Linked DNA regions of Canis lupus familiaris. The protein of the gene in region 1 purifies or fractionates together with the protein of each later gene. This does not show direct contact. Links are inferred from orthologs where the notes say so. Each region holds a gene or a part of one and is shown on either strand. Other genes may lie near its edges.

What was found.
Region 2: the proteins of LLGL1 (region 1) and PARD6B purify together in Homo sapiens (affinity purification with mass spectrometry; 5 studies listed by BioGRID and IntAct, counting the BioPlex papers as one, with this or other methods). This does not show direct contact. The link is inferred for Canis lupus familiaris from reciprocal best matches to the Homo sapiens genes LLGL1 and PARD6B.

The regions. Positions count from the first base shown.
Region 1 is NC_049226.1:41,532,783-41,536,586, reverse strand, and holds part of LLGL1 (lethal(2) giant larvae protein homolog 1), read left to right. Parts: intron 1-59; coding exon 60-213; intron 214-287; coding exon 288-392; intron 393-1,108; coding exon 1,109-1,401; intron 1,402-1,718; coding exon 1,719-1,866; intron 1,867-2,093; coding exon 2,094-2,247; intron 2,248-3,804. UniProt on the Homo sapiens protein: Cortical cytoskeleton protein found in a complex involved in maintaining cell polarity and epithelial integrity. Involved in the regulation of mitotic spindle orientation, proliferation, differentiation and tissue organization of neuroepithelial cells.
Region 2 is NC_049245.1:37,729,027-37,733,296, reverse strand, and holds the start of PARD6B (partitioning defective 6 homolog beta), read right to left. Parts: upstream 2,818-4,270; 5' UTR 2,756-2,817; coding exon 2,690-2,755; intron 1-2,689. UniProt on the Homo sapiens protein: Adapter protein involved in asymmetrical cell division and cell polarization processes. Probably involved in formation of epithelial tight junctions.

The DNA.
Region 1 (3,804 bases):
ATGAGTGGATGTGGGGTGCAAGGGGCCCCAGACTGGGCCTGACATCACCTTCCCTGCAGTCATGAGGATGGCACCGTGCGGTTCTGGGATGCCTCAGGTGTGGCACTGCGGCCACTCTACAAGTTAAGCACAGCTGGCCTCTTCCAGACAGATTGCGAGCACGCCGACAGCCTGGCCCAGGCCACCGAGGATGACTGGCCGCCCTTTCGCAAGGTGGGCCCCTCCCCCAGCCCTGGGGAGTCTGGCCCCAGCTCTGCCCCGTGTCATCTCCCCATCCCGCCCCCCAGGTGGGCTGCTTCGACCCCTATAGTGACGATCCTCGGCTTGGGGTGCAGAAGGTGGCACTCTGCAAGTACACGGCCCAGATGGTGGTAGCTGGCACTGCAGGCCAGGTAAGGTGGAGGTGTCATCCAGGTTGGGGTCTCAGAGGGCTTTGTGGAGGAAGTGGGCCTGACCCAGATGGTCTGGTGGAGCAGGAGGGGGACCATCATGGCCAAAAGCCCAGAGATGGAAATGGGGCTCCAGGTGGGGATGGCTGGGGTGAGGTCAGCCAGGGAGGTGGAACCTACTAGGGGGTCTTGAGGGCTAGATTCTGGTTGTTGGGGAACCATGGAGGGTTGGGGCTGTAGTTGAGAGCTCAAGTATTAGGTGAGCTTTGGGGAAGTGGGGTCACTGCTATGCTTCCAGCACTCACACGGTACATAGGTGCTCAGTAGGGACTCATCGTTAGTTGTAAGACAGGCTAACGGGGAATCCTTTGCTTCAGAGGCCAATGGGCCTTGGTTACTGCTGTGCCACTGGCACTTGTGCATTATACAGGAGGTGCTCAGTGTCTGCTTATTACTAAATGAAGACAGGCATGGGGGTAGGGGGCATATTTTGCTGCTAGACGGCAAAGCAGTGGGTCTTGGTCACCGTGTTTCCCAGGGCTTAGTGAAGACCCTAGTATACAGTAGGCAGCCAATAAGTGCTTTTTAAGCAGATGAACTGGAGACCGTACTGGGACCACCCTGGCAAGGACTTTGCAGTATGAGGTAGGGCCTGGGTGGTCTAATACCATCATCCTCCTTGCTGACCCTGCCCCTACCCCACCCCACCGTGGGCTCAGGTGCTGGTGCTGGAGCTAAGTGATGTGCCATCGGAGCAGGCAGTCAGCGTGGCCAGTGTGGACCTCCTCCAGGACCGAGAGGGCTTCACGTGGAAGGGCCATGAGCGGCTGAGTCCACGCACGGGGCCGCTGCCGTGGCCTGCTGGCTTCCAGCCCCGGGTGCTGGTTCAGTGCCTGCCACCGGCTGCTGTGACAGCCGTCACGCTCCATGCCGAGTGGAGCCTCGTGGCCTTTGGCACCAGTCACGGCTTTGGCCTCTTTGACTATCAGCGCAGGAGCCCTGTGCTGGCCAGGTGTGTGGGGGACGGGCCCAGCCTCCTGTGGGAACCCTGGTGTTTCCCTGCAACTGTTGGGGCCTCGATCTCCCCTTCTAAGCTCTCATATGGTAGATAGGGTGACCTGAAGCCCCCTTCCCCTTTGGCAGCTCCGTCCTTATGGGAAGTGTCACTGGTAGAGTTTTAAACCCCTCCCCCACCCCACCCCTGCCAAGCTGCTGGGTTGCAGGACAGCCACACAGGACCTCTAGTTCCTGACCCATGGGGCCAACAGGAGCACAGTGGCTGCTCCAGGAGTCTGCTCTGTGGCCCAGCTGGTACCTTCCTGCCCACAGGTGCACACTACACCCCAACGACTCCCTGGCCATGGAGGGGCCACTGTCTCGGGTGAAGTCCCTCAAGAAGTCTTTGCGCCAGTCTTTCCGGCGCATCCGCAAGAGCCGAGTCTCGGGCAAGAAGCGGGCCACTAGTGCCACCAGCAAGGTGAGCTGGGGCCAGCCTGCCCTGGGTGCCGCCTGTCTACCTCTCAGGGCTGGGCAGAGCAACAGAGTTGGGCACCGGCCCCGGCCTTGGCCCCAAGCCTGGTGTCCACTCCCCATAGTTGCTCTGGCCAGGCTGATCAAGAGGGTGCCGGGCTGCTGGGCACCAGGTTGCGTGGGCGCAGGCAAGGTGTTGGGAAGGCGGCGTCCTGGAGGCCACTGCCTCTCCAGTTGCAGGAGGCCAATGCGCAGCTGGCTGAGCAGGCCTGCCCCCACGATGTGGAGATGACCCCAGTGCAGCGCCGCATTGAGCCCCGCTCCGCCGACGACTCCCTCTCTGGCGTCGTCCGCTGCCTCTACTTCGCTGACACGTTTCTTCGAGATGGTGAGATGGGGAGGATGCACTGGGGAGATGAGCCTTGGTTGGCCATCTAGGAGATACGGGGAGGGGGTGGGACCAGGCCTTATGGGAGGGTAGGGAAGCCTACCACATGCCACACTGAACTGGCTCCCCAAATAGTCCCCGGCCCCCAGAATTCCCATGTGTATGGGGCTGGTGAGGGAGCCTGGTGGGCCTCTGAGATCTGAAGAGGGAGAGGGAGCCCAAGATCTGAGGGAGGGGCATGCGAGGGTCAGCCTCACTGAGGAACCGGCTCTGCCCCTGATGGCTGGGAGCCTCCACAAGGTCCTCTATAGACTGCTGTGGCCTGGTTTATGGACTGATTCGCTGATCAGTTTTTAACTTGTGTAACAGAATTTCAGCCATACTCAAAAATAGGAGTCCGTCACCCTGCACATCCGGCCTGATGCCCCCAGCCATCTGCTGCTGTCACACCATCCCCACCTCATGCTCCATTGTCTATCTTGCTGGAGTGTTGTATAGATTTTATTTATTTATTCATGAGAGACACAGAGAGAGAGGCAGAGACACAGGCAGAGGGAGAAACAAGCTCCCTGCGGGACTCGATCTCAGGACCCTGGGTTCACACCCTAAGCCGAAGGCACATGCTCAATCACTGAGCCACCCAGGCATCCCTTGCTGGAGTATTTTAAATGAAAACCTTTGAGTGAGGACTTGAGTGTGTGTCCAACAGGCATAATCCACAGCCAGGGCACCCACATCGTACCTCGTGGAACCAATGCTGATCCCAGTCCCGCTTGGTCCACTTTGGCTTTCTCCATTTGTCTCAAAAATGCCTTTTTAGGGCAGCCCTGGTGGCGCAGTGGTTTAGCACCGCCTGCAGCCTGGGGTATGATCCTGGAGACCCGGGATTGAGTCCCACATCAGGTTCCCTGCATGGAGCCTGCTTCTCCCTCTGCCTGTGTCTCTGCCTCTGTGTGTGTCTCTATGAATAAATAAATAAAAATCTTTAAAAAAAAATTTTTTTTAAATGCCTTTTTATAGTAGATGTCGGGTCAGCATCTAGTCAGGCGGCCCTTGACCTCACTGAGACAACAACTTCCAGTCCCTGAGTCTGAGAGGGGCACACCCTCCTCCTGGTTTATTTGTATCTTGGGGATCCTCTGTCCAGTGGATCTTCTCACCAGCCAGACTTGGTAGCCCTAGGCCTTTACCTTGGTCCACTGTCCCTGCAAAAAGGCTGATGGGGTGCAGCTTCCCAGGTGGCTGCCTGTCATGGGTCCAGGTGGCATGATGAGTTGCTGACTCTTCCCTGGGGTTTGGCTCCCCCTGACGGTTGTTACTATGGCTGTCAGTTTATCAAGGGCACACACAGCACTGACTAATGGCTCCCTCACATTCAGTTCTGATTCTGCATTGAAGGACCTACCCCAAGTTTCAGCTCACACAGGGAAAGCTGGCCGGACAGCATCAGGCCTCAGGTCATTTCAGCCCAGGCCCAAGGGCTCCATGTCTGGCCGCAAGGTGGGAAGCATCCTTAGGTGTGGGCCGTGGCCGCTAGAGCACATCTACAGGGTGAAG
Region 2 (4,270 bases), on another chromosome or scaffold:
CTGATTCATGCCAGGGTTTATCACTTCTCCAGGTACGTGAATGAAAGTTAACATCTAACAATTGAACATCGCAGGGCTCCAGCGTCTTTGTTAAAGCTTTTGGGTGAAAATCCTTTGCTCAACATGTATTTCTCTTCCTTATAGGTTATGATAAAAACAATGAAAAACTGTATGGCTTCATAGCAGATGTGCCCTTTTGCAAATGTTAGCAGAAAACAAAACCAAACAAGAGAAACTGTTATGCTTCTTGCAGAGAAACAATAGGATTAAGAGAACGTTTTACTACATGAAGAAAAATACTAAGACAGACATAAAATTAAGACCGAGTCAACAACTTTTCACTACATGAACCATTTATAACTCTTTAGGCCAATCTAGTTTGTCCTGGCCACCCAGGATGTGGCCTTCTCCCAGCATCTGTTGGTACATTCGAGAAATGCAAAGTTAATTTTAATGCTGTTTGCCCATGAATAATAAGTAGAAAATGTACGGCCCAAAGACTGTTCCAAGGTTACTGAGGGATATCACCTTCATTATTAAGAACTTCCCCAGCTCTGCTCAGATGATACAGTTGACACTGTTTTCTATGCAGAAGAAAAAGAGATCTTGAAATGTGGATCTGCACGTTACCTGGCTGTGGTTACAACTTCCCGACAATCAGTTTTGAAAAAAGCTGTGATATCACCAAGGCAGGGACAAAGAGAAATATTGTTTCAAACATCTGTCTAAATACTTTTTAAATGATAAAGATGACAAGTGTTTCATTTAATCCACTAAAAATAAATGTCTCAACAATATCTATTTAAAACAGTGTCACAGATGCTAAAAACAGTACCTAATATTGTGTCTATTCAGCAAGATCTAGAACAACAAGAGGAACCACACCTCATTTGGTGCAGGTCCTCAGAATGCCTCGATTCTATTTAAGAGACATGGTTCACTACGAGTGCAGCATGGCAGCTCAAATATACAACGTGTAGTACAGATGTAAGTGTGGGAAAGATTCACAGGTCAGTTGAGAGAAGAGAAAGGGCAGAAAGCCTGAAATTCCAGTCCCAAAAGTGCTCCAGGTTTCTAGTCCAGGAGATAAATTACCATTTGATTGTATTTATCGGTGCACCTAGACTCTCTACTCATTTTTTTCCTACGATAAAAAGTTCAAGACTTGTTACCAAGATTAGGACCACAAACTGAATTTTAAGATTATGCAATATCATAAGTGTTTTTCTTTTCTTAACCTCAACCCCCACAGACGCAAACTAGATTTATGGCAGAAATGCCTGAGAAAGTTCAACCAGTGGGCACAGAACCACTACCGCTGCTATACCGCTCGAGGAAAAATCCTGTATATTTGGAGTCATCTTAACCCTTAGCTCAAGCCATGTCCCTTCAATTTGCTCTAGTGATTCTGTGCAGGGCACAGGAAAGAAAAAACACAGTCCTTAAATTGCTATAATTACATTTCTATTCTTATTAAGCAGAACGGTTTCTGTGAACCCACTTGCCTATCCTGCTCCAGAGGTCACAAATAACATTTTCAAACGATGTTTAAAATGAATGTAGATACTCTTGATGTGAAGATCTCAGTTCCCAGCAACTCACAGAACTTTGCTTATCAGCTCTAGATAAAACCATTCCACCCCCAGGCTCCGGGGAGCTTTTCTTACTCCACTTCACTCAAAACCACTCCCTGATTTTGGATTTGCCCTCTGTAGTCTTACACTCAATGGTGTTTCGTTATTTTTGAAGCTGATCTGCTCGTACTGTTCTCCCATTCTTGTGTCTTGGTTTTGTTAACTGTTTTTAATGTTCTCAAAAACACGTTTGTTCTACAGAGTCTAGAAGTTATCTGTAAAAAGCCTTCCAGGTTTTGTCATAAAAGCAGAGCCTGGCGAAGTCATAACCTTTCTGACCCCTCCGTTTTCTCAAGAGAATCAAACTAGATTATCTGAGCTCCTTTGGCTCTTCAACTCACAAAATGCTTGCTGAAAATGCTGCTGTGGTTGCCGATCACCTTCAAATTCCAGCTCGAAACCCCCTTTGGAAAGCATTCTCTAACTAATCCCTACAGACTCCCCTGCTCGGGGAGCCTTGCAATTTAGGAATTCAGTGGATATGGACGGAATTTTCAGCAGGCTGGCATACCGTCGGTCAGGAAGGAAAACACTTGATGTGAAAAGGCAGCACGATGGAATGAAGAGAGCATCCAGCCTCAAACTGTAAAGGGCTACTCAAACGAAAGGTGATAGTGTTAATTCTTATAAATAGGACGCATACCAAAGGGAGTGCTGGAAAAATCCCTAGCAGGAAGCAAAGCCAACTTTCAAAGGGCTCTTCAGGGCCCTGGGCTCGCCGTCTCACCGCTCGATGCACCCCTGGACCACGGGAAGGGGTAACATTTTGTGACCGCGCGTGTTTCCAATACCTGCTACTCACAGGCCGGGAGCTACAACGTCCCCAAGCCTTCGCCCACACTGCGCTCAGACGCCTGCCATCCCCGCCCCGGGCTGAGACCCCAGGAGGGCAAGGGCTCCGCGGGCCTTCCCACCTGGGCCGGGAGCAAACGCAAGGCCCCACCCTCGCCCGCTTCTCGGCGAGTGCACCGGGCAGCCCCGCACGCCCCGCGGCCGCAGCCAGCGGGCAGCCCCGGCCCCCCGCCCCCGCCCCCGCCGGCCCCGGGCCCGCGCACCTTGCTCTTCACCTCCATGGTGCCCAGGCAGCCGCTGCCCGCCCCGTGCCGGTGGCTGCGGTTCATGCTGAGGCCGGGCCCCGCGGCGGCCTCCTGCGGCCGGGCCGCCCCTCGGGAGCGCGGGGAGTCGCGGCCGGCGGGACGGGGCCGGGGCCGGGGACGCGGCTGCGGCCCGGGCGCCTCCGCACCGGCACCTGCAGAGCGGCGGCCGCGACTCGGCTTCTGGGCGCGGAGCTCCGCTCGGCCGGCTGCTCGCGGCGGCACCGAGGGTCCGACTGGCTGCGCGGCGGGCGGGGACGCGACTCCCTCCCTCCGGGCCTCGGCGGCGGCCGCGACGGCGGAGGGGGCGGAGCACAGGCGACGGGCGCCGCGAGCTCGCTCCCGGCCGCCTCCCCCGCCGGCCCGCGCGCGCGCACCCGAGCCCGGGAGGGAGCCGCGGCGCGCGCGCGCTCACCTGCAGCCTCGGCAGAAGCCTCGGCGGCTCGCGCTCCGCCCACACCCAATAGGAAGCGCGCACCTGCGCCCGCGCCGCCAGCCAATCGAAACCCGCCTCGCGAGCGTGTGGGCGGGCCGCCTCCGCGAAAATCCCGCCTACCGCCTCGCGATTGGTCCCGCGCTGCGAGGGAGGGGCGGGATCACCTGAAGCCTTGGGCCCCCCTCCCCGGACCTAGCAGGAGAGCTGGAAGGCGCATGCGCGGGCTCTGGTGTTTCCGCCTCGGGAAGGCCGGCCGGAAGCGCGAGCGCACCTGGAGAGGCGCTGGGGCGGGGGCGTTTTGCGCAAGCGCAGGCGCAGGCGCGCGCCCGAGGGCCGGGTCGGGCGAGGGCGCGCCGGGCTGGGGGTGGGACCGCGCTGCCCCGCGGGGCCCCGGGGCGCGGAGGTGCCGCTGGCTTCGCGCCCGCCCCCGCCGCAGTCCGCTTTGGGGGCTGCAGTTGCAGAGGCTCCCCTCCACCGCCCGGCTGGGTGCTTCGGGAGTCCGTCTGCAACTCTGGCTACGGAATAAAAGTTCTCCCGCCTCTGCAACAGTTACTGGGGGAGAGCATCGGGGCTCCGCGGGCTCGGTTTCGTCCGCGGGTCCCAGGGGGTCGAGAGGGCGCCGCGAGGGAGGGGAAGTGGGCGGAGGCCCAGGGTGCATGGCCGCGCGCAGGACTTCGGATCGGCCTCCCAGGGCTTGCGTTAGGCTCTGCTCGCGAAGTCTTCTCCCTCCTCCAGCCGTTTCTTCGCCGTTTGCTGTTTCCACCAACGGCAGCCTCTGGACAATGTTCTTTTCTCCGTGGGGCGATAGAACTCCGTCCTTGATAAAAGACAACCCTCTGTTTTAAATGCCCCAGAGCGCGGTTCCTTCTCGCAGGGAGGCTGTTTAAAACAGTACTGGCCGCGCCAGGGAAGTGAGGAGGAGACCCTCCAGTGCCCCCCCCCCCCCACCTGCAGAGGGGCCGGCCTGACCTGGGGGTGGGGGCGGTTCATTCCACCGCAGTCCTGGGGCCTTGCGCTCATCTGCCTACTTCAAACCCCTCCTGACTCCTCGTACATCCTTCCCAGCATGTGGGTGACAAGCTTCCGTTTTTTCATGTTCTTGGACT